5 linked regions of the Danio rerio genome follow. The protein of the gene in region 2 purifies or fractionates together with the protein of the main gene of each other region. This does not show direct contact. Links are inferred from orthologs where the notes say so. Each region holds a gene or a part of one and is shown on either strand. Other genes may lie near its edges.

Evidence for each region.
Region 1: the proteins of sart3 (region 2) and lsm8 purify together in Homo sapiens (affinity purification with mass spectrometry; 4 studies listed by BioGRID and IntAct, counting the BioPlex papers as one, with this or other methods). This does not show direct contact. The link is inferred for Danio rerio from reciprocal best matches to the Homo sapiens genes SART3 and LSM8.
Region 3: the proteins of sart3 (region 2) and mepceb purify together in Homo sapiens (affinity purification with mass spectrometry; 6 studies listed by BioGRID and IntAct, counting the BioPlex papers as one, with this or other methods). This does not show direct contact. The link is inferred for Danio rerio from reciprocal best matches to the Homo sapiens genes SART3 and MEPCE.
Region 4: the proteins of sart3 (region 2) and smx5 purify together in Homo sapiens (affinity purification with mass spectrometry; 3 studies listed by BioGRID and IntAct, counting the BioPlex papers as one, with this or other methods). This does not show direct contact. The link is inferred for Danio rerio from reciprocal best matches to the Homo sapiens genes SART3 and LSM2.
Region 5: the proteins of sart3 (region 2) and lsm6 purify together in Homo sapiens (affinity purification with mass spectrometry; 4 studies listed by BioGRID and IntAct, counting the BioPlex papers as one, with this or other methods). This does not show direct contact. The link is inferred for Danio rerio from reciprocal best matches to the Homo sapiens genes SART3 and LSM6.

The regions. Positions count from the first base shown.
Region 1 is NC_133179.1:10,099,385-10,104,279, reverse strand, and holds lsm8 (LSM8 homolog, U6 small nuclear RNA associated), read right to left. Parts: upstream 3,318-4,895; 5' UTR 3,158-3,317; coding exon 3,127-3,157; intron 1,637-3,126; coding exon 1,596-1,636; intron 1,264-1,595; coding exon 1,136-1,263; intron 1,021-1,135; coding exon 930-1,020; 3' UTR 755-929; downstream 1-754. UniProt on the Homo sapiens protein: Plays a role in pre-mRNA splicing as component of the U4/U6-U5 tri-snRNP complex that is involved in spliceosome assembly, and as component of the precatalytic spliceosome (spliceosome B complex).
Region 2 is NC_133180.1:21,199,006-21,203,308, forward strand, and holds part of sart3 (squamous cell carcinoma antigen recognized by T-cells 3), read left to right. Parts: intron 1-745; coding exon 746-858; intron 859-938; coding exon 939-1,015; intron 1,016-1,194; coding exon 1,195-1,363; intron 1,364-3,096; coding exon 3,097-3,563; intron 3,564-4,303. UniProt on the Homo sapiens protein: U6 snRNP-binding protein that functions as a recycling factor of the splicing machinery. Promotes the initial reassembly of U4 and U6 snRNPs following their ejection from the spliceosome during its maturation.
Region 3 is NC_133198.1:47,985,238-47,990,245, reverse strand, and holds the start of mepceb (7SK snRNA methylphosphate capping enzyme-like), read right to left. Parts: upstream 3,454-5,008; 5' UTR 2,964-3,453; intron 2,888-2,963; 5' UTR 2,878-2,887; coding exon 1,387-2,877; intron 1-1,386. UniProt on the Homo sapiens protein: S-adenosyl-L-methionine-dependent methyltransferase that adds a methylphosphate cap at the 5'-end of 7SK snRNA (7SK RNA), leading to stabilize it.
Region 4 is NC_133181.1:30,702,451-30,707,326, reverse strand, and holds smx5 (smx5), read right to left. Parts: upstream 3,418-4,876; 5' UTR 3,342-3,417; coding exon 3,339-3,341; intron 2,923-3,338; coding exon 2,855-2,922; intron 2,743-2,854; coding exon 2,712-2,742; intron 2,620-2,711; coding exon 2,560-2,619; intron 1,698-2,559; coding exon 1,572-1,697; 3' UTR 637-1,571; downstream 1-636. UniProt on the Homo sapiens protein: Plays a role in pre-mRNA splicing as component of the U4/U6-U5 tri-snRNP complex that is involved in spliceosome assembly, and as component of the precatalytic spliceosome (spliceosome B complex).
Region 5 is NC_133176.1:39,343,970-39,349,072, reverse strand, and holds the start of lsm6 (U6 snRNA-associated Sm-like protein LSm6), read right to left. Parts: upstream 3,119-5,103; 5' UTR 3,025-3,118; exon of another isoform or gene 2,802-3,024; coding exon of another isoform or gene 2,777-2,801; intron 2,677-2,776; coding exon of another isoform or gene 2,672-2,676; coding exon 2,578-2,671; intron 1-2,577. UniProt on the Homo sapiens protein: Plays a role in pre-mRNA splicing as component of the U4/U6-U5 tri-snRNP complex that is involved in spliceosome assembly, and as component of the precatalytic spliceosome (spliceosome B complex).

The sequences.
Region 1 (4,895 bases), on a different chromosome or scaffold from region 2:
TAATAATGGCAACACGATTTTTTTCTTCATGGTGAAATTATTTTCCTAATTAAATATTAATTCTTCTGAATGTGAACAGACATTTATATAAGCCTTATATAATCACTCGTATAAAATATATTTCATAATTATACACAATATAATAAAATATTAGCAATATATAACTATACTATTTTATCAATATTAAATAGATATATACTTGTAAAATAACCCCATTGTGAAACATTTGCATAATTAAATATTCATTCCTCTGAATGTGAACAGAAATTTATATAATCTTTTATATTATTTATTATATATATATATATATATATATATATATATATATGTGTGTGTGTGTGTGTGTTTATTTTTAAATACATGATTATGTTATAATACAATATTGCACATTATTATATACAATTACTACATTTAAATAACTGTTACAAATTATTTATAATAATATACACTTATATTAATGTCTTTTTTCGTCATTTTTACGATACTGCAATGAGCTTTTCTTTGTGGGAAATAAGCTAAATCGTCATGAATGCAATAAAACAAAATGGGCTTTAAATGCTTTTCAATTTCTTCATGTAATACGGAAATTTCTTTTGACTTTTGGGTGATAAAATAGGCATTTTGGAGATGGACCTAATCTTACTTTTACTGTTAATTTATTACTTTTTTTGTTTTTGACTGAGAATTATCCAGAAAATGGATACTTACCAATATTTTCCCCTTTATACAAGTTTTTAAAAAATTTAAAATCTTGATTTATCACTTTTTGTTTTATTATTTCAACACCCGTAAAAAACAAAACAAACAAAAAACAAATATGCATTCAGTCTTTTTCAAGATTAAAAAAGCAGGTAATATTGCTGCTTATAGATGCCTGCAGATTTCCTAGGGAAAGTTTTCAACTGGATCAAAATGAAATTTTCTGTCCATCAATGCACCACAGAATTGAGTGGTTCTGCTCTTATGTTTCCAAGATCCAGCGCAGAATCGGTTTCTTCATCAATCTCACCGATCACAGCCCTTAAACACAAAATAATTTCCCATTTATGTCAACCAAATAAAAGAAAAAAATCATAAACCTTGCACTGTTCTGCACAACATAAACATAATTACAAGAAAGGAGTTTAATACTCACACATTATCTCCTCTGACAATATACAGTCCCAGAACCACCTGCTCGACCCCCTGTGAAGAGCTGAAGACCCGCTCGTGGCTTTCATCCAGGATGAGGTTGATTGCCTGATCAAAGCCTTTTAGCGTCCCCTAAAAACAGCACAAGTCAGTAAGCGATCTTCTTCATTTCTGCACACAGACAATGATTAATTGGTAAGTTCACCAAAAAACACAGATTTTAATATTAATTTATTCACACTCAGGCTATTCACAATCTAGGGGACTTTTCTCCTCAGTTAAACATAAAAGACATTTAAACAAAACAAAAATACAAATGAAAAATATGTGTCGGAGCTGTGAGTTACAAGTGATAATGTTTAGATTTTCCTAATACAGTCAAACACTCCCAAAGTGTCTTTGACTTGCACTTTATTAAACACAAAGGTGGATAACTCCCTTTAAAGTACACGAGGAAGACTCACCACGATCATTCTGCCATCCGAAGTGACAATAGCAACAGTCCCTTGAAAAAAATCACAGTCAAGGAAATTTCAAGCTCATTTTATGTATGCATGGTCACTCACTGCGTTTATTTGTTCTCTGGATTTGTGTTTATATAGTACACATAATGTGTGTTCAAAATCTCTATTAAGTATTTTATTCATTGACTGATTCATATTCTCTATCTATCTATCTATCTATCTATCTATCTATCTATCTATCTATCTATCTATCTATCTATCTATCTATCTATCTATCTATCTATCTACATGAATACAAATGGTCATGGTCAAGAAATTAAAACTTTTCTAGATTGTTTTACATATATAGATTATATTTATATACAGATTAACATGAATACGAACAATCAAATATACTTATTTTTTACGAAATATTTAAGAAATGAAAATGTTTCTAGATTGTTTTACATTTCTAAATTATATTTATTTATAGATTAACATGAATAAAAACAGTCAAATATGCTTACTTTTAACCAAAAATTAAGAAAAGTTTTCTAGATTGTTTTACATATATGTATTTTATCTATAGATTAACAAATTCAAACAGTCAAATAAACTTATTTTTACCGCAATTTTAAGAAATTAAAACGTTTCTAGGTTGTTTTACATAGATTATATTTATATATAGATTAACATAAATACAAAGGGTCATATATAATTACTTTTAACTAAAATTGAACAAATGAAAACTTTTTTTAGATTGTTGGATTGCATCTATATGTAGACTAACATAAATGCAAATGGTCAAATATACTTAATTTTATGCAAAATTTAAGAAATAAAAACTTTTCTACATTGTTTTACATATATGGATTACATCTATAAATAGATTAACATAAATAAAAATAATCAAATATACTTATTTTTACGAAATATTTCAGAAATTAAAACCTTTGTAGATTGTTTTGCATTTATAAATTAGATTATATGTATTTATAGATTAACATGAATGCAAACGGTCAAATATACTTATATCCAAAATGTAAATTTTTTTTTTTACTTTTCTAGATTGTTTTACATACATAAATTATATCTATATAGATTAACATGAATACAAACAGTCAAATATACTTATTTCTACCCGATATGCAAGATGTGAACACATTAATATGTAATATTTACAGTAAATAGTAATATTCCAGTTATATGATATGTCTTAATTAAATATTTGAAGACTCGTTTTCATTGGTCCAGAAAAAAAAACTCAAATATTTGACAAAAAACAGGCATCTATGAAGTTAATATCACATCCAGATAACCGATAATCATCTTGAACTGATCTATTTTGCTCAAGAAATGTATGTGCGTACATTAATATGCTATAACGTGAATTATAACGACGTATGATCATCAAAAGCTAATTCACTTGCTGGCGCGCCATATATATAAAGTTAGACATTTCACGCTCAAACACACACAATCAACAACAAAACACGGGGTATCGATCAACAACATCACCGCCGTGCTGTTCACGATGCGTATTAAAGGATACGGTGAATGTAACTCTCGAGAGCGGTGGACATCTTTTCTGCTGGTGCGTGTTTTTAAATCCTCCGGTGCTCGTTCGCTAGCTCCTACAACGAAAAGCATTCGTTCTTGAGCCGGAAGCGATAACGGAGAGACTCGAGTAGGCGATGACCGATTGAGCACAACTTCAGGCAGAACTAATGGAGTTGGAGCAACGAAAGCTGTCATGAGTGAATTAGTATTTATTTAATAAGCTTTAAATAACTAGTACGCGACAATAGAACACACATTTTAATGCCAGGGATGATAGAAGATAAATATAGTAAGAGTACAAATAATTAAACATTAATTAAGAAGCAAAACAAACACACGTACATAAAAATAAGCGTATAAATAATTAAATAGATTTCTTACAATTACACACGTTTACATCAATCAAAACTGTTAAAAATAGACCACAAATGGACAGTGCTAATGAAGTTAATTTTATAGTTTAAACAAATTAATGTGAAGTTTAGCCGTCGTGAGGGAGTGATGCGGTATTTGTCCAGCAGATGACGCGCTCTGGAGATTTCTGGTTTCTAAGGAAGAGAGCACAATACTGTTTCTAACGAGTAACTTTAGAGATTATAATCAGTTCTTGCTGAAAAGGCTAACTGTTTGAGGGTCAAAGTGGGGGTCGATGGAAACACTGGTGGTAATGATGACGACGGCACTTACACAAAAGTACAATCAATGGTTGTGGGATGATTTCAGACGCTAATTGTAATTGTACATCGCCATTATGGGAATTAATGCTGATTGAACTATATAAAAGTGCTGTAGTGGTTAAAAATAGTTGTTATACGGTGTTTTGCTACACACTAGCATGGAAAAAATAATTAAAACTTGTTAATATTCGTAAGGTACTGAATGTTTAATAAATTTGATGGAATTGTATGGTGGTTCTGGAATTACGTTGCTATTACATCAGAATCAGGGACTGACCTAACCAATGATGTAATGTAATGTGTATTTATATTATAGATCTTACACCAAAAGCGGTTCACAATCATGAGGGGGGTCTCTCCACACCACCACCAGTGTGCAGCATCACTTGATGATGCGACGGCAGCCACAGGACCACAGTGCCAGTGCGGACACCACACACCAGGTATTGGTGGAGAGACAGTGATAGAGCCAATTCGGTGGATGGGGATGATTGGGAGGCCAGGCCATGATGGGTAAGGGCCAATGGAGGGAATATGGCCAGGACACTAGGGTTACACCCCTACTCTTTACGAGAAGTGCCATGGGATTTTTATTGACCACAGAGAATCAAGACCTGGGTTTAACTTCTCATCTGAAAGATGAAGCAAGCAACCGCTTAGGACCCCAAGAAATTTGGGGGCCCTCAATAATTGCCCACACTGTAAAACGTTTCACATTGGTTAAACTTACAAACTCAAGTTCAGCAGCTGCCTTGAAAATGTGAGGCAACAACTTAGAGAGATTCTTTGTTTCAATGTAAGATGTTGAGTTTTAGTTAAATATATTGTAAAACTCAACATCTTAAGAATCTCTCCAAGTTGAGTTGACTCACATTTTCAAGGCAGCTGCTGAACTTGAGTTTGTAAGTTTAACCAAGTGAAACGTTTTTACAGAAGCGTAAATCATATTTTGAATGGTGATGGTGTAATAAATGAGATTTTAACGTAATTATACCATCTACACAGATTTGTTTTACACACCTAATCATAGAGCAGTCCACCAGTCAAGATAAAGATTCAGTTTCAGAAACAATTTATTATTTTT
Region 2 (4,303 bases):
AATAAACGAGTGCTAATAATTCAGGGGGGCTAATAATTCTGGCTTCAACTGTACATTGGATCGTTTTCATGAATGGTCTCAGAATTGTGGATTCCACTGTATAACTAAATTTGTTACAACAGTATTTTTTAACAGCAAATTTACAAGGGAGTTATGATGACCTAAAAGTTTGATATTTTGTATTGTCGAGATATTAAAAACAACGTAATTTTCATGTAAAGTTTCAAATAGAAATCAATAATTAAACCTCATCAGTTCTCTTAATTTGTCTGTTTTTTGGTACAGAACATTGTTTTTGTAAGTAAAAAGTGTGAGAGCCACTTCAGTACAGCAAAAATACCTAAAGATTTCTCATGTTTTCTTTTGACAATAAAGATAGCATGAAACAGTGTTTTCTATTGACTATTGGCTTCAAAGGTTTCATATATTTCCTGGTGCAACAGAATGTTTAATAAGTATTGTGGGGATAATGTTCTTGCTTTATGATTTGATTGGATCAGAAGGGGGTTCTGTGCAATAATATTGGTTAATATAAATTTTTCCCTGACTGCGCACCTTGGTTATATCAGCAGAAAAAGAAAAAATATTCAATTTTTTATATTTAATTAAAAGGTAATAACTTGCTAAATCCGAGCATTTGTTTTTTCCACAGTAAGTGAGAGCTGAGGTTATTTTAATGTCATGTGATCTTGAACCGACTGGTGAAAGGCTGCCATTCTGACTCTGTGTTTTGTTTGTGGGTCAGGTCTTATGGAGATGCTGCTCACTGCAGGAAGGCTCTTCACAGAGCAGTACAGTGTACATCAGACTACCCTGAGCACGTGTGTGATGTCCTGCTCAACTTTGAAAGAGTGGAAGGTCAGCTTATTGAAAGCTTAATATATAGATTGTTGTTTGTGTCCAGCTTTGGGTGTTGATGTTGGTGTTGTTTGACACAGGCTCTCTGGAAGACTGGGATGCTGCAGTCCAAAAAACAGAGACCAAACTTAATAGAGTCTGTGAGCAGAGAGCACGAGTAAGTCCCAAATTGACTTGTATATTTTTTTTATTGAAAATAACAGAAGTACTTCAGTTTCCTATTGTGGCATCAAGCATCAGATATTCTTTTTACGTTTAAAATACGTCTTGCAGAAAGCTTACTTTAATGCTATTTAGCTATGGTTTTACGGGTGACTGGATGCTGTTTTTTTGCAGGTGGCAGAAAAAGAGGCTCTTCACGCCAGACAAGAGGAGGAGAAGGCAGAGCAAAGGAGAAAAGTGAAGGCAGATAAAAAAGCCCAGAAGAAAGGCCAGAAAGCAAACAGAACAGGGGATAAACGGAAAGCTGAAGATGACGATGAGGAGGAATGGGGAGAAGAAGCAGGTATAAATCAAGAGCTTTTAGTGAGAGTTTAACATCTTCATGTCATTTCAGAAGCATAAGAATAAGGGGCAGTTCATACAGAACTCGTTTTCCTTTCCAATGTGCTGATTTTCTATTGTTTCTCAATGTAAACACATTTGACGGATATGTCAGTGTTACACTTGTGCTGAGTGTCTTTTGAAGTATGGACACTCAATTTGTTCACTTAAAAGTAGGCAGTGTATTTAAATTTATATACAGTTGAAGTCAGAATTATTAGCCTCCCTGTTTATTTTTCCTCCCAATTTCTGTTTAACAGAGAGAGAGGATTTTTTTCAACACATTTCTAAACAAAAGTTTTAATAACTCATTTCTAAAGACTGATTTTGTTTATCTTTGCCATGATGACAGTAAATAATATTTGACTAGATATTTTTCAAGACACTTCTATACAGCTTAAAGTTACATTTAAAGGCTTAACTAGGTTAATTAGGTTAACCAGGCAGGTTAGGGTAATTAGGCAAGTTATTGTATAATAATGGTTTGTTCTGTAGACTGTCGGAAAACAATATAGCTTAAAGGGGCTAATAATATTGAACTTAAAATGCTTTTAAAAACTGCATTAAAAACAAACATAATTTGTGAAATGGTTAAAAAAGAAAAAAAAAAGTTAAAGGGGGGTTAATAATTCTGATTTCAACTGTATTATATTGAGGTAATATGCACATCATTGCTATTGTGGGGACAAAATATTTTGAGTTGTTAGGTCTCTAAATTTTTAGTTATTTTAAGAGCACAGTTTAGTTTTTTTTTTAATCTAATGGAGTAAATATGCAATATTGCATGTATCAAAAGAAAAAACATGTTTCAAATGACTACTAATGTATTGAAATATTTTATATTACTTAAAGGGAGAGACAGAATCAATCAAAATTATGCCATCATTAACTCATCATGTACTTATTCCTAACCTGTTTGAGTTTCTTTCATCTGTTGAACACAAAAGAAGATATGCTGAAGATAGCTGAAAAAAACAGCCACTGACTTTCAAACTATTTAAAATAATAATAATAATAAGTCATGTATTTTATAATGACAGTACTCATTGATCAACAGTAAGAACTGTAAATAAGCCAGAATTAACCAAAGGACTTATTTATATAATAAACCTAAAATCAAAAATAGCTTAATACACATCAAATGTTATTAAAGTTACATACAAAAAACTATTAGAAATGAATTACATTATTGTAAAAAAAGAACCCAAAAAATTGCACGATTACACACTTGATTCACTTTTCCTATTTCTTTAGCCCATTTTTAAATGTTGTAGTTTGCAATACCTCTTAATTCAAATGAAAGAGGATTCTAGAATTGAATGGCTCTTACTGAGCAGCCTGATGTCAAATGTTGTGTGCCTAAACTGCACAGCACAGTTACCTCTAGAAAGAAATATCATAAAAATCTATGAAACCACTTTTGTTTTAGTAAATGAGGAAATTCTTATTTATGGTTGTATTTCCCATGTGAATTTCTTTTTGGTCCCTTAATGATTGTGAGTTTTGGCTGAATATACTTTGAAAGAAAGGACAGAAGTTTTATACCTTAAGATCCAAGTATGAACAACGCAGCAGACTTTTCCATTGTATATCACATAATTATTTTGTAAAAAAAAAAAACACATCCAAGAAACGGAAGTCCTTTTTTAATCAAAAGTACATTTCACCTGTACTAACATATCAAAATGTGTGCAGAGCTGCCGTCCAAGAGGCTCAGAGGAGAGGACGACTTTGACAGCACGGTCACGGAGGAGCTCATGGAGACAGAAAGTGGACTTTTCGGCCGCCGAGCTCCACCAGCGCGTAAAACTGAGCCACCTGGTTTTCGAAAGAACCAGCAGGGAGCGCCTGAACCACAGCGACAACCCCACGACATGCCAAAGGAGCAGCGCAAAGATGAAAACTGTGTGTTTGTTAGTAACTTGACCTTTAATATGGAGGACCCTGAAGGCAAGCTGCGAACATTGTTTCAGGGTTGTGGGACCATACAGCAGGTGCGACCTGTGTTTACAGCAAAAGGTACATTTAGAGGCTATTGCTACGTGCAGTTTGAAGACCGACTGGCTGTACCTGAAGCACTGAAAATGGACAGGCAGGAAGTGGACGGGCGGCCCATGTATGTGTCTCCTTGTGTGGACAAGAATAAGAATCCTGACTTCAAGGTGAGAAAGTATACTAGAGTATTTTATGGGAAAGTAAGTCACAGCTGCAATTAAGATGCACGAAAACAAGCTATTATAGTTAAATGGCAAGCTTATTGGTTGGAGAATCAGAAATATTCAATTCGCCAAGTACTATGCTCAGTAATAATAATAGGCACTTAAAAACATCAAACTAAGGGCGTACTCGCACTATGCTATCCGATCCATGCCCAGGCCCGTTTCCTGGATCGCTTGAGAAGTGTGAGTGTTCTGAATCGGGCTCAGGCATTGTTCACTTGGGCTTTGCTGCGGTACGCTTGTGTGTGAGTGTAAAACGGGCCTGAGGCCGAAACTGAAAGCGAGACATGACTTTTAAGGGACTGTTACATATGGATTGATTATTCATTCTTACTGTTCAATGAACACAAACTGTCGCAGGTTATTAAAGAAGCAAACCCCTCACTGCACGACAGCTGCACCTTCAGCAAACCTCATAATTCCTTCAGCACGAGGGCTTTATGATTGTTTAGAAGCGTCAAAAGTTGCTGATCTATTCGACTAAATATTTGACTGCGTGTCACCGCATGTTAAACAACTTAAGAGATATAACAGTAGGAAATCTCCACTGCTGAGCGAGAACGCTTATTGAACAGTGCATCATCTAAATCACCAACAATTCATCTCAATAAAACTTAAGTAGTTACATTCATTCATATGCGGCCAAGAAAGAATCAAATTAGTTTTCCCCCTCTCTGTTAGTG
Region 3 (5,008 bases), on a different chromosome or scaffold from region 2:
ACTGTTGTGTACACCACAATTTAATATAAAATTCACTTTAATGTGTGATATGACTAAAATGGTCAGGAACAAATCTTTTCTCTAAGAAATAATTGCAATTATGCAATTAACTGTCCAATTGTCCGCACTGACGCTTAATAGTCTGTTTTCGAGTCCATCCAGAAATGTAATATGTGGCCAAATAATAATAATATAGGGCATGTAAAAAAATTCTAGGAAATATTTTGATCTTATGTGCATAAGTACATTTCTAATAATTGCAAATGAATTTGTAAACTGATATTTTTCCAATATTTTGTAAAAAAAGAGGTGTATATGTTATTTTATATATGTTCATGATATAGACAGATGGGTTGATGGGTTGATGGATGCAGATAGAAATATAGATAAATAGACAGACAGATAGAACTATGATAGATAGACGGATGGATGGATGGATGGGCAGACAAGACGGACGGACGGACGGACAGATATGGATGGATGGATGGATGGATAGATAGATGAATGGATGAATAGATAGATAGATAGATAGATAGATAGATAGATAGATAGATAGATGAATGGATAAATAGATGAATGGATGAATAGAGAGAGATAGATAGATAGATAGATAGATAGATAGATAGATAGATAGATAGATAGATAGATAGATAGATAGATAGATAGATGAATGGATGAATAGATAGATAGATAGATAGATAGATAGATAGATAGATAGATGAATAGAGTTAGATAGATAGATAGATAGATAGATAGATAGATAGATGAATGGATGAATAGATAGATAGATGAATAGATAGATAGATGAATGGATGAATAGATAGATAGATGAATAGATAGATAGATGAATGGATGGATGGATAGATAGATAAATAGATGAATGGATGAATAGATAGATAGATAGATAGATAGATAGATAGATAGATAGATAGATAGATAGATAGATAGATAGATAGATAGATAAATGGATGAATAGATAGATAGATGAATAGATAGATAGATAGATAGATGAATGGATGGATGGATAGATAGATAAATAGATGAATGGATGAATAGATAGATAAATAGATGAATGGATGAATAGATAGATAGATAGATAGATAGATAGATAGATAGATAGATAGATAGATAGATAGATAGATGAATGGATGAATAGATAGATAGATAGATAGATAGATAGATAGATAGATAGATAGATAGATAGATTCCATATATAGAAATACAGACAGATGTTTGTGTGTGCAAAATCCAAACATTAATTATACATCCAATAACACACACACACACACACACACACACACACACACACACACACACACACACACACACACACACACACACACACACACGTCAGGAAGATCTGCTGCTTCAGCTATGTTAGTGTACCTTCAGGAAGCAGACGTTGCTGGGGAACTGGCCTGGAGACTGATGCATTATGGGAGGAGCGGCGATGGGTCCGCGGCAGCGCATGAAGGAGACAGGAAACCTGGGTAACACCAGCTGCAGGTCCATCAGCGGCACCAGCCCCGTGACCTCTGACCCCTCACCTGCTCCCGCCTGCTGCCTGTCCTGCAGCTCCGACAGGAAATGGCGCAGGTTCTGGCGGGCGGCTTGCACCAGCGCGCCATCAATGTCCAAGCCCAGGATGTGGGCGGGGCTGCAGTGTTTGGCGATGGCAAGGGTCACATGACCCGTGTTACAGCCCACATCTAGAACTTTTTTTCCAGAGAACCATTCGGGATTAAAAAGAGCCAATCGTGGGTCGTCGGTCATCGATGGTGTGCGGTAGCCATAGTAACGGCTGTAGGCTCCATTATGGTATTTGCGCCGCGGCCTGCGCTGCTGTTCATGGCTTCGCTCCGCCCCCAAGGGAGGAGCTCCGCTGGCTCCGCCTATAACTGGAGTGTGAAAGGTTTGAGTGTGTGTGATTAGCCGCTTGGTGGGCGGAGTTGGTGTGATTGACAGGCGAGAGTCCGAGCGACTGACAGTTCGTCTGCGCTTCCGATGTTTGGACGGATGGGGCGCAGAGGCGGACCTAGAGAGTAATTGAGGGGCGGAGCTAGACGCAGAGGGGTGTGACTTACGCCGTGGCAGAATAGGTTGCACCACTTCATCGCGGCAATTAATCGAGGTGTTGAGCTCATACGGACGCGGCGACTCCTCGACAGGCGGAAGAACGGCACTGTTCGCAGCCTCTTCAGGATTAGCTACAGGAAATAATGTCGTTTCATTGGTTTTTGACTTCTCACAATCTGATTGGTCGGCAACGCCTGTGGTCGCTCCAGGATGATGGCGGTTGCGGTGTCTGCGTCTGATCTTCATTGGAGAAACCAACACACCGGCAGCCGAATCTCCGCCCCTGCCGCTTAAATTCAGCGGGTCTGTAATATCTTTCGGGATGAGAATCTCCACCGGGTCTCGGTTTTTAGAGGGGAGTGGCGATGATTTGGGCGTTTCGGCATTAAGCGCTTTACTGACCTCCTCGTCCAATAGGCTGTTGAGGTTTAACGGATCAAATATATTCCCGCCCAGCAGGAAGTTAGTAGGAAGCACAGGATCGCATTCAGAATTGGCGCGGCGTCTTCGCTTACCGAGACTCGGATGTTTGAACGCCACGTTCATACTGTAGCGCCGCTTCTGCGCCAGTTTCTGCGTCTGCACTTCAGTTCGAGTTTGTAGGCCATTTTTAATCTGAAAGGGCCCCTCGGCGGTAACCCCATCCTGTGGGGTCACGTGATTGGCTGCGAGTTCGGTTAGCACAATGTTAGCGGTCACCTCATCTTTAATGGTCTGCAGTGGGGACGGCGGGTGGGCCAGTAAACCTGCTGCCCCACCAGCAATAGGAAGCTCACTTTGCACTGACATCACAGTAGACATCCATCAGCCGCTGGAAACACAGAAACACACCATTCAAGTACAATATACAAGATATAAATGTGTGACGCTTGCAGATGAGTACTTACTTGACTACTCTGAGCCTGCTTTCTGTATTGTTTTATGGGCACTGATGTGCTTGTGACCCACGTGTTACATTTGGCTCATCTAACAGCTCCACGGCGCGTTAATTTAACTAACTCCGCCTATGGGCGGGGCTACCGCGACGCTCATGAATAATGCAACGGAAACGCGACTCTCGAAAGCTCCCCCCCTTTCCGACACAAACGCACACGTCCGTTAACACAGACACACACACACAGTACTGAGCGAGATATTTTCTCCGGCTCTCTCGCGCTGAGAGTAAACACGAACGCCAAAAATCAAACAAAAACAGCGCACACGACACACTATGTACACAGACCCGCGCTCATTAGAGCTACGTAAACACACAGCTGCACTTGACTCGCGCTACTGCAGATATGAAAAACACTTTGCTAAAATGGTGCTGATTAAAAATAGACTTTGATCTGTCGAATGTTCATGAGCGCTTGAACTCGCAGTGCTCCATCTCGCCCTGTGGCACAGCAGACCAGCGCGCTTATATATTCCACCACAGACCAAGCCTGACGGACAGTCGCGTCTGCCAATCAGAAAGCGCGATATACGTTAAGGCCCCTCGAACAACCAATGGCGGAGCTTTAAATGAAGGCATGTGCTCGCAGTCACCGCCCCTCCTCTTTTAATAGGTATCCAGCGGACTGCCTGAATTGACCCGTTAGACACTAAATATTATCGTCAAAATCAGTAAAATATAACAAATTGACGACAAAATGCATTTGTTTATTTAACAAGAGTATGTGTTTGAGCAGAATCCCATAATTCTGCTTTGGAGAACGTTCGGGAACTCGAAACAGGCAGTCGTCACATGTGTAAACAACCCCTGTGAGAGTTCTTCCGCGCTGAATTTACGCTTATAACAACGACTAATGATCGGATAACTAATAAAACATGACTTATGTCATATTAGCATTTTATATCGTATGGAATTAGCGCCTCTGCGAGTTTTAAAGAGACCCTCCCACTCTGCTGCAGGAGGAGGAGACTTCTGGGAGATGTAGTCCTTTTGATCTGAACCTGTTGCCAAAAACAAGAAAATAACAGCATAATATGATTCATTATTTTGATTATTGTGAAAGAAAACCCACTTGAGTCAGTGGATTCAGTGTATGCATTATTAAATCATTATTTTTGTTTGGCAGGACTGGTGTAAATGGCCTAAATTACACACATTTAGCTTATTTACAGACAAGAGAGAAGAAGAGATAGCTAACTAAAGGTATAGAAATATATTACAATAAGAGTGTCATATATGTGACCCTGGAACACAAAACAAGTCATAAGTGTTGAGTTTTAGAAAAATAAGCTGAATAAATAAGCATTCCCCTAGGTATGTCTTTTTTAATGCCAAAATGAACTATTTTTGATAACATATGAATAAATTAAAATGACTATTCTGAAATTTGAAGGTAGATAATGGTATTATACACTGAGAAAATCACCTTTAAAGTTGTCCAAATTAGGGTCTTAGCAATGTATTTTACTATTCAAAAAATGAGTTTTGATATATTTACAATATAGACATGTATAAAACGTCTCGATGTATGATGATGATCACTTATACTAATGATTTTTGGCATAGAATAAAAAATAATTTTGACTAATTCAATGTATTTTTGACTTCTCCCCTACATATACACTCACCGGCCACTTTATTAGGTACACCTGTCCAACTGCTCGTTAACGCAAATTTCTAATCAGCCAATCACAAGGCAGCATGTGCCAACAATGCCTTGTTGATGCCAGAGGAGAATGGCCAGACTGGTTCCAGCTGATAGAAAGGCAACAGTAACTCAAATAAGCACTCGTTACAACCGAGCTCTGCAGAAGAGCATCTCTGAACACACAACACGACCAACCTTGAGGCGGATGGGCTACAGCAGCAGAAGAGCACACCGGGTGCCGCTCCTGTCAGCTAAGAACAGGAAACTGAGGCTACAATTCACACAGACTCACCAAAACTGGACAATAGAAGATTGGAGAAACGTTGCTGCTCTGATAAGTCTCCATTTCT
Region 4 (4,876 bases), on a different chromosome or scaffold from region 2:
AACCGGCTGATGGCAATTTGACTATTTTGTGGTTCAGCCGGTTCAAACTAATTAACATTTTTTTATTGGTAGCTAATTAGCGAATGCTTAAAAGGGTACTCTAAACTACTATAATAAAATTAATTAGAAGCTGTTAAAATATATTGTGACTGAAAAAAATCCTGTGAATGTTACTTAAACTTTTTAGAATGCAACTTTAAAGTGAACTGTGCTATAAACAAATTAAGAAATATATTCGTGTTTTTTTTTTCCTTAATATTTTTCGCCGCACACCCTGTGGTACTTTTAGGGATTTAAAATTACTAAATGTAAGGCAAGGTGTATCCTACTGAAGAAAAATGAATAAATTATCAAAATTGAAAATCATGGCTTGTCACGGTTTAAAGTACTATGCAAAATGACACTCAAAAAATCTTTACTACTATATAAAAAAATAAAATAGTAACCCTCCCTAATATGAATATTTAATAAATTACATACATTGTAAAAACGACAACAAATGTTTTCATTACTTTCCTTTTTTAAGTTAATCAGTTTAACTTAACATATTTGTCATTTGACTTATAGAAATGTAGATGACAATTTATTTTGAACTAAAACACCTAAACATATTTTTGTAGTGTGGTCTACATTCGCTTTGATAAAGCCATGATTACTTTATTAGCGCATAAAAGTGCCTAAAAAACACAAAACAAAGGCACTGGTATATTTTAGGAACAGTAACTACGAGTTTCTTTTACTCTAAACAACTTACTTTTTTGTTTGGGACTAGGCTGTAAACTACAGGTGTCAAATTCAGTTCCTGGGGGGGCTGCAGCTCTGCACTGTTTAGTTCAGTTTAAGTAAGCACAACCAGATTAAAGTAATTAAATCTTTCGGGCTTCTTTGAAACCCAACCCTGCTCCAATACACTTGGAACTGAACTGTGCAGGGCTGCAGCACTCCAGGAATTGAGTTTGACACCTCTGCTAAACTATCCATTCACCTTAACCCAAGGGTGTCCAAACTCAATCTTGGAGGGCCGGTGTCCTGGAGATTTTAGCTCCAACCTGCCTCAACACATCTGCAATTATGTTTTTAGTAAGAGCTTGATTAGCTAGCCCTGGTGTGTCTGATTGGGTATGGAACTAAACTTTGCAGGACACCAGCCCTACAGGACCGAGTTTGGACATGCCTGCCTAAACCAAAACACCAGCATTCCACGAACATAATTTGTAAAATGCTGTCAGCTGAACTCCAACAATGGACGATTTTTTCCACCAAAAGGAAAGTGTGAAAACAGAGGAAAATACTTTATTTTTGCATCAATGTGTGAACCTAACTAAAAGTCATTGGTATGCAGTACAGAACTTTACCAACACTCATTAAAAGCACACAACCACTAACTTGTGAAGTAAAAAAAAAAAAACAGTAAATCACACCCTCAATAACAGGCTTCACATGACGTAAAAATGAAAGAGAAAAAAAAAACTTTACATGTTTTAGGTAAGAAAAACATTTAAATCAACAAAACTCCACAGATGATGCTTCTGAACATTGGAACAAAACCAAACTATTCTCAAATATAAACATTATTGTTTCTGTTGTGTAGCTTCTTTGCGTGCAGCATCCTGTAGTAGCTGTGTGTCCACTTCATCTGCAGGAAGCTGAACGTATCGCACCACTGATCCACGAATGAAGCAGTTCTTCACAGACAACTACAACAAAACAATATTAGAGTCATCTATATACACCAAAGTTCTCCTTGTTGAGCACCTACATCACTATGACAATTCATAAATCACAGACTTAATAACCTGATCTACATTAATTTAGGAATCAATTCAATTATCAGGGTTCCCTCTTTAACCCTTTAGCTGCCTGCTCTATCAAATGGTTGACCGTATTTTCACCGTTTTAAATAATGGTTTTCACTACACAGCATTGTTGGTTTACAAAAAAAAATCCTGTTGCAATTCTACACTTGCTTTCTAGTTAGTTTTTTTGACAATAAAACCAAAGCAATGTTATATGAGAATCTGAAAATATTTTATTGCATATTTCAAAAAATAAAGATGACTTAGTATTCAAAAAAAAATTTTATTTTGAATATTCTTTAAAATAAATTGGTCCTACACTTGCTATTTTCAGATTTTTCATAGTATTAATTTCTGTACTTTTACCATAAACCAATATATCAACCATGACATGAACATAACAGGCTTCTGTAGTGCTTATAAAAAATTGTAATATTAAATTAAAAATATATTGAAATGGTTTTAGCCATTTTATTACATTCATTTAATAGCCACTATGAGAACAACAAATGATAATTTACTTAATATAAAAAAAAAATACTTGCGGTTTGCATGGCTGTAAATATCAAATATATTTTAATAAAGAAAAGCTAAAATGTAAAGTAACAAACAAAAAATCCCTGTTATTCCATGAATCTGACAAAAATATATCAACATTTCCTAAATTTCAATGTCTGAAATGAACCTTTTAAAATTCCATGACATTGATAAAGATATTAGACCCAAGATTATGAGTGTAATTTTCATTTCATCCATTTCTCACCATGTGCGGATATTTCTCTGGATCAGTAACACTGATATCTGTCAGTTTGATGTTCAGGTACTGTGAGGGAAGAACAAATGACAAGATTAACTTAATCCTAAATCGCCCAATATTTGTTTATATTAATAAACGTGTGGAGTCAGTTTCCGTACCTGATCAACTGAATGTAATGTTCCACATATGCTGCAAAATAGATGTGTTCATAGTTTTACGAGCTGGCACATACATTATAAAATATGTATATTCAATTTCTAATTATATATATAATATTTGTAAAAGAAAGGTGAGCACTCACCTCAAGTCATTCTTGAGCTCCACCACAACATCTTTGCCAACCAAAGACTTGAAAAACGAGTAGAAGAGCTGAGAATAAACATTTGAAGGAATTACTCTCAAAATATGAGGCGGACAGCAAATAAGACATCGATAAAACGATTGAATCAAGTTTTATCAACAGACCAAATGAGAAATGTCAACAGCAAATAACACTGCTTTCTAAATTACGCAGGCAAATGAAATACCAAGACTTTAATATAATAGGAGTCAGCCAGAGTTGTTTCTGTTGGGCATTTAATTAAGGGGATAATCCTTGCTTGAGAATGTTGTTTTATTTGGCTATGAAGAAAGCTAGCGTTAGCTGTTAGCATGAAGCATTGTTTGTCTTTCTCGCGAACACAGTGGTCAAAAAAACCTAAATATGTTAAACAAATGGTCGTAGCACGTTTATTAATTCCTTAAACGTAAATTACTGTATGATATTGCTAAATAACAACACTTACCATTTTCACGCGGCTTTGTGCTTTAGATCACATACGTCATCAAAAAGCTGCCGGGTCTTTCACTCTGTGCTTCTATTGGCTAGAAGAATGAAGACGTAAAAATCCCATTGGTCGCGAAATTGTTGGCGTTTTGTTCTGTTTTTGCGTCATTTGTACTCATCTCAGTAAATTATTCCGCAATCGTTCATCACACAAAAGAGATTAAAAGGCGCATGTTCAATGGATGTGAAATATTTTCTTAAAACAGTCAACTTTATGCCCGAAGAGGTACATGACATGTCTGACACAGAGCTTGCTGATACACGTACATGGCTCCTCTTTTCTGGCAATTCCCTCTTTCGTCAGCAGATGGAGACAAATAATAATAAAGCACAGTCCAGGGCTCAGGTTAATCCTCTGCGTTATCCCCATTTATAAAACAAAAAAGCAGTCCACTTACAAAACGCTATATTGTAAAACAAAACAAAACCTCCACGACATGCTAATGATTATAATGTTTTTCACGATTATGTATTTATGTGCATCCAAAAAATGTAAATTCAGCCAATTTAATCAATTTACTTGTTTAAAACCATCTTGATCTTTCCATATTTTGAAGAACGTTGGGAACCTGTAACCATTGACTTTAATAGTATGACAAACAAATACTATGAATGTCAGTGCTTACAAGTTTTCAACATTTCTGAAAATAAAAATGGATTTTGGATTCTCTATAATTTAAAGATAAATGTTCCTAAACATATAGAGCCTTCTTATAACATTATGCTTTAATATGCATTCTCCTGTTTTTAAAAGCAAGCATTCTGAAAATTACCTAGAATGAATATAAGCAGGGATGGGCAGTATTTATGATAGGGTTGATGGAAATGGCTTAATGTTTTGTATTAAAAATACATTAATGTCTTTTATTTTTGTAGTTTAAAATATTGTAAAATACTTTGATGCTAAATGTTTGTCACTGAAACAAACAACATAACAATAAGTCCTACAATAAGTCCTACAAAAGGGACTAAGCCGAAAAGACAATGAATGAATAAATGAGTGGCGATTCCGATGCTGTTTCAAATGCCAGTAGTTGATCTGCAGATGCACTGTACTGTTAATGAAAAAGAAAGATGTACTGTATGCCTAAACATGTAAAAGTGACAACATGAGAAACGCACATTTAATAATTAAAAACTTCTGACAGGTTATACAGAAGGAACATGATATAATATATGAAAAGTTTATTTGCAAAAAAAGATAATTTTTTGAAAGTTTCAGAAATCATGTTTTTACACTGAGTATTAAAGAATCAGTTTAATGGTGAAGGGACTGATCAAATGGGCTTATTAATGAAAGGTTTGCCAACAAATATCATGTTCCTATTTAAAAATATTTTGTAGAATTTTTTAAAATACAAAAATACTGTATTTTATTTTGATACATTTTGTGGCTGAGGTATTTTGTAGTTTATTTTGATATACTTAAACTTATGGTTTTTGGTATTTTATTTTAAAATATATTTAAATGTTTTTGCCCAACCCTGATGATAAGCA
Region 5 (5,103 bases), on a different chromosome or scaffold from region 2:
GTTATCTTGTTAAATGATATTTATATTACAATGTATTTTGCAGAAAAACAGAAAAATCTGCCATTTTTTTTCAATATCGTGCAGGCCTATTTCAGTATATTGACTTACTCCTGTTTATATTTTATAATAAAAGTAGAAGTATAGTAATTAAGAATAGTTGTTGTTAATTTTTACATAGATTTGATTTCATATTTTAAACGTCAACCAATATTAATTTCCTTTTTAGTTGATGCAAACTCCACTCTTGCTTTAACAAGTGGAAATAAAACACTGGGGAAAAAAATCAAAGGGTCTTTAATATTGATTTAGACAATAAAATGCATGGAAATCAAAAAGTTTGATAACAAATATCCAAGTGTAAGAAAATGGTGGCAATACTAAAGGAAGGTTTCAGACTAAAAGCCTTAGATCAAGAGCAGGATACAGCAACTGAGGTAAAGTTGGTTTTATATTCGCACATTTATTTAACGACAACTTGCGACACGCTCCCTATATTGTTTCCCACGGTACTTTGAATATTTGATTTGAAATCATAAGTAAGTTTGACATGAAAACAACATAGTACTATCTATTTGACTGTGAACAATGTTGTACTTTTATAGTCATTTGCTGATATGATTTTACTATTTAGAATTTTCAAAGAATACTTTTCTAAAATTATATTATTAAGAAAAAAAGTGAGAATATGTGAATACAGGGCTCAACAATAAGGACTGCCCAATGGCCCGGGGCTAGTGTGCGAGATGCTAGGGACATTAAACAGGACCGTTACTGGCCTAATCAGGTCTTAAAATTAAGAAACTGTTATTTCAAGCCTTTAAATACTACCTTCTCAGTGAAGTTGTAAACACCATATTGCTTTTCGCTTCCTCTTATGTGATTGGATGATGTGAGCATGTTATTTTTTTCTAAAACTTGGTAAAAACCAGTACAGCAAAGAGGCGGCAACTTCAAATTATTAAGCTAAAAGAAAACGTCTGTTTCTAATGTCTTGGGTACAACATGACGAAAAAAATGTGATGTTCTGCACAGTTTGCCGCAAGTTTGGCAAGTCAGCCACATTTTGTTAAATAATTTTAAAGTGCAATAAAATACCTGCACATTTTCTATTATTTTTTTGTTTGTTTGTTTGTCTGCATTACACTATAAATTTTGCTTATTTTAGATTTATTAGCATTAAATGCTACATTCGCAGATGTTATTTTTGACAGAACATTTAAAATATGTGGCTAGGATATTTTTTATTACAGCTTTTCTCAGTCGCTTTTGTGCGTTTCTCACAAAACTAGTGCATTTCTGCACAACAGTTAATGCATTTCTCAAAACAATTAGTTTAAACTGCAAAACCTAGATGATAAACTGCAAAAATGCGTCACATGCTCAAAATGGATAGTTCATTCCTCAAAAGCAAGTATTGATGTTAATCAAAGTGCCAGTATCATCAAAATGAAAAGTCCTGACACCATTGTTTATGAACAAGATAGTCACATGGCTTTGTCCTGTTTTCATGATGACAGTTTACTCTGTACATTTTTTCAATGCAAAAAAAGTCAGATTTTGTTGACACTTCCTGAAAATGCTCAAGACAACACTGCATACTATTTGCACAGCCATTTGAAAACTACAGTAAAGTTAGACATCACTGCATTTAGTGAGGAATCGGAGTACAACAAACTGAATATGTATGTTTCACATTTTAACTGTATATACTCTTTGCAATTCTAATTTATTCACACCATTGTGCAAAAGAATACATACACCCTTATTTACAACAAACAAACTCCCTTTGGGTAGAGTTGTGCACAACTGTACACAATATTGCAAAACATATAGGAACTGAAACTAAAATACACACAAGTCTATAAATCAATCATGAAATTGTTCAATTTTTTAGACATTATCAGGAAAATAAAGATTTAATTTTTTTTATAAAATATTGCTTAACAGATTTTGACAACTAGTTCAACATTTTTGTATGTAATGACTCAAGTAATGAAATGAAAACTATTTGTTTTATATGGAATGACTACTCAGAATTCACAAGTTTAGTTGACATAAGCAGATGATAATGTTATAAATATCAGAGAGTTGTATGAAAGTAATTGATGCATGTCCAAAAGCATCTGCAATGTGTTGGAAGGAATGAGAAACTGCTAATAGGATGTGCACAAATGACTAATTATTTTGAGAAATGCATTAACTGTTGTGCAAATGTAAATAGTGCTGTGAGAAATGCACCAAAGCCACTGAGAAAAACTGTAACTTGTTATATTTGGTCAGACCAGTGAAAAGTTTCGGGCCAGTAAAAAAAAAATCTTTAGCGTTGAATCCTGGAATATAAAACTTACTTTACCTGACACAACTTTATCCATATTTAACTTGCATGTGGCAGTGAACTTGTAATAAATTACAATAAGGAAATTATGTTGTTTTCTTCAAGATTGACTTCCAAACCATCCTATTTTATTACCTCCAACACAACAAATATGATCAGTCCCTTCATGCATACCCTCGATAACTTGTAAATGATAAATGTAAAATACAAACATAAAAACAACCGCATATTTCAGTTTGTACCTCTGTAATCGACACCAGAGTTCAGTTTCACCACCACTGGCCTCCCAATGATCTGCTTCAGGAAATCACTTGGTGTCTGCTTTCGGAGACTCATTTTAGCTGAAAATGAATGACAATGAAGTTTATGAATAGCTCTTATAAAAATGAACCATGGCTGCATTGTTAACAAAAAGGATGTGACAATAACAACAAAACGTACTAAAGACGTTTATTTTAAACCACATAAGGGGTTTCCAGAAGAGGTTTAACCTTATTTGTTTGGAAATTGCCGGTGAACGTTATCGATAAGCGGCTAATTTAGCATGCTAGCATTCCAACCCAACGTATCACTTAATAAACGTGTCATCGTATATCTAGCAAGGTAACTACAGTGCTGCAGTTTTTTAAAACCCCACTAACGTCGAATGCATTCTTATATTAAAGCATACAACATTTAACGTTATTTACCTATGTCGTTTAGCAACGTTAACCGCACGTTTCGACTGAGCGACTGCTGACCAATGAGCTCGTCCGCTTATTCTAGTTCCATGGTGTGTACACCATTCAGCCAACCAGATGCTTCGTTAGAAAGCCAGTGTACGGAAGCCGACAAGATAGCGTTATCTCCTTTGACAAAGAATGCGTAGTGGAAAAAAGAGCCAGATCGACGGTGGCAGTAAAGACGGGGAATCGTCGCTTTTGCTACATTAGGACATAAAATCGTTAGACAAACAGAAGAATGACAGATGAGCTGATAAAAATGGACGAACAAACAGACGTATAGAAACCTAGACTGACAGACAGACAGACAGACAGACAGACAGACAGACAGACAGACAGACAGACAGACAGACAGACAGATAGATAGATAGATAGATAGATAGATAGATAGATAGATAGATAGATAGATAGATAGTCTGTCTGTTTGTCAAAGTATTTTGTGTACATTGTGTATAATAAGCAACTTCAGGTTGTAGTTGAGGTGTGGCTAAAACATGTAGGAAAAAAGAAGATCCTGTATAGCCAAAAGAGAGAGAGGGAGATGGGGAAGAAAAAGCTGTCTTTTGTTCACAGGCAGAGGAGGGGATGCACCTGAGAGACAGAATCATAAAGCACTTCTGGCGCATCCAGACAGTTTGCTTGTTAGCAGGGCATTGGTAGCCCTGAGGAGGCTAGAGGTTAATTTGGTATCTGGTGCTGTGTTAAACTAAGGTCAGCGCTACAAGTCCTTAAGTCATAAACAAGTGTGGTTAAGAGCCGTGTACACACCTAGGCACGAGTTAATGAATATTCAATGAGTATTTTTCCCCTTGTTGCCAGAGTTCACATCCTAAAGGAGGGTTAAGAGAGAAAAATGTGATCTAATGCATTTTCCTATCAAAGCAATCATTCATTTAAGGAAAAAAAGGAAAGAAATTGAACGAGTTTACAGATTTTTCGGTTGTGGCACACAGCACCGGGATTTTCAGTTGTAAACAAATATGGAATATCATGACAAGGAAGCTGACACAAGCACTATGATGCTTTCTTGACTACTGGAAAAGCGTGAATGGCTTGGCTTGTTAAGCGATACTGAATAAAACACAATAGAGCTCTACAGACACAGAAAGCATTTCACAAGCTTTTTATCTTTCAGTTTTGCCTGTTGCTTGGTAGAAGATGATTCTGTCCGTCTCACATAAAGAGGGCATTTTAACCTTAATGTGCTGTCCTTCAAAAAGTTTTCAACTTAACATTTTGTAGACTGATGTGAATGTGCATAAAATTTTGACTGGGAACAAATAAAAAAAGCATTTGCTTTTCCTCAGTCAGCACAGACAATCCACTCTCACCGCAAGCCTGTGAATAACCCCACAGCTCCTATGAAAACAGTAGCGTGTTGGTAATAACCGCCCAGTGATGCCAGATGGGACTGTTTTCACCCTGCCTTCAAGACGCTGGTGAGCTCAGATGGACAGTGGCACAGTTGATTTGCTGGTACAACCCGCCTCACCTTTCTAAGCCCCCAAAGACCTGAGAGGGAGTGGAGGAAAAATGAAAAGATTACAGAGGCAGCTTCACTAGGGTTGGGGGTGGGTCAGGCTGAGGGGTGTCAGATGCGAGGGGAGGGGGCTCCGTCGGTTGCCGCAGGCTGCTTCGAGGAAAGGAGAGTCTAGACTAGGCTGACCTTTGCGAGCCAGGGCTTTCTCTACGGGTCAAGTTGGATATGGAGGGGGGATAATGGAAAAACCTCAAGGGAGTTTTCGAATGAAATCCAGATTGGCTGCCGGCATGTAGTTTTTCTCCTCCCCTTCCCGCTCCCTAATCCCTGCACTGCATGGGGGTAATAGTGTGGAAATGATGGGGGGAGTGTCGCCTTGATCAAAAATGAGCAGTGGAACCTAGTCACCCCATTCTAACACCCAGATTCATGCCCACTATATATATAAATATATCTGCGCATGCAACCACTGCAGGCCAGGTTATCCAATGCGATTCCAGGCACCGGCTGCAGCCTCTAGACCTTTGTCAAATACCTTGCTGAAATGATTTAGGAGAGCTGCCGCA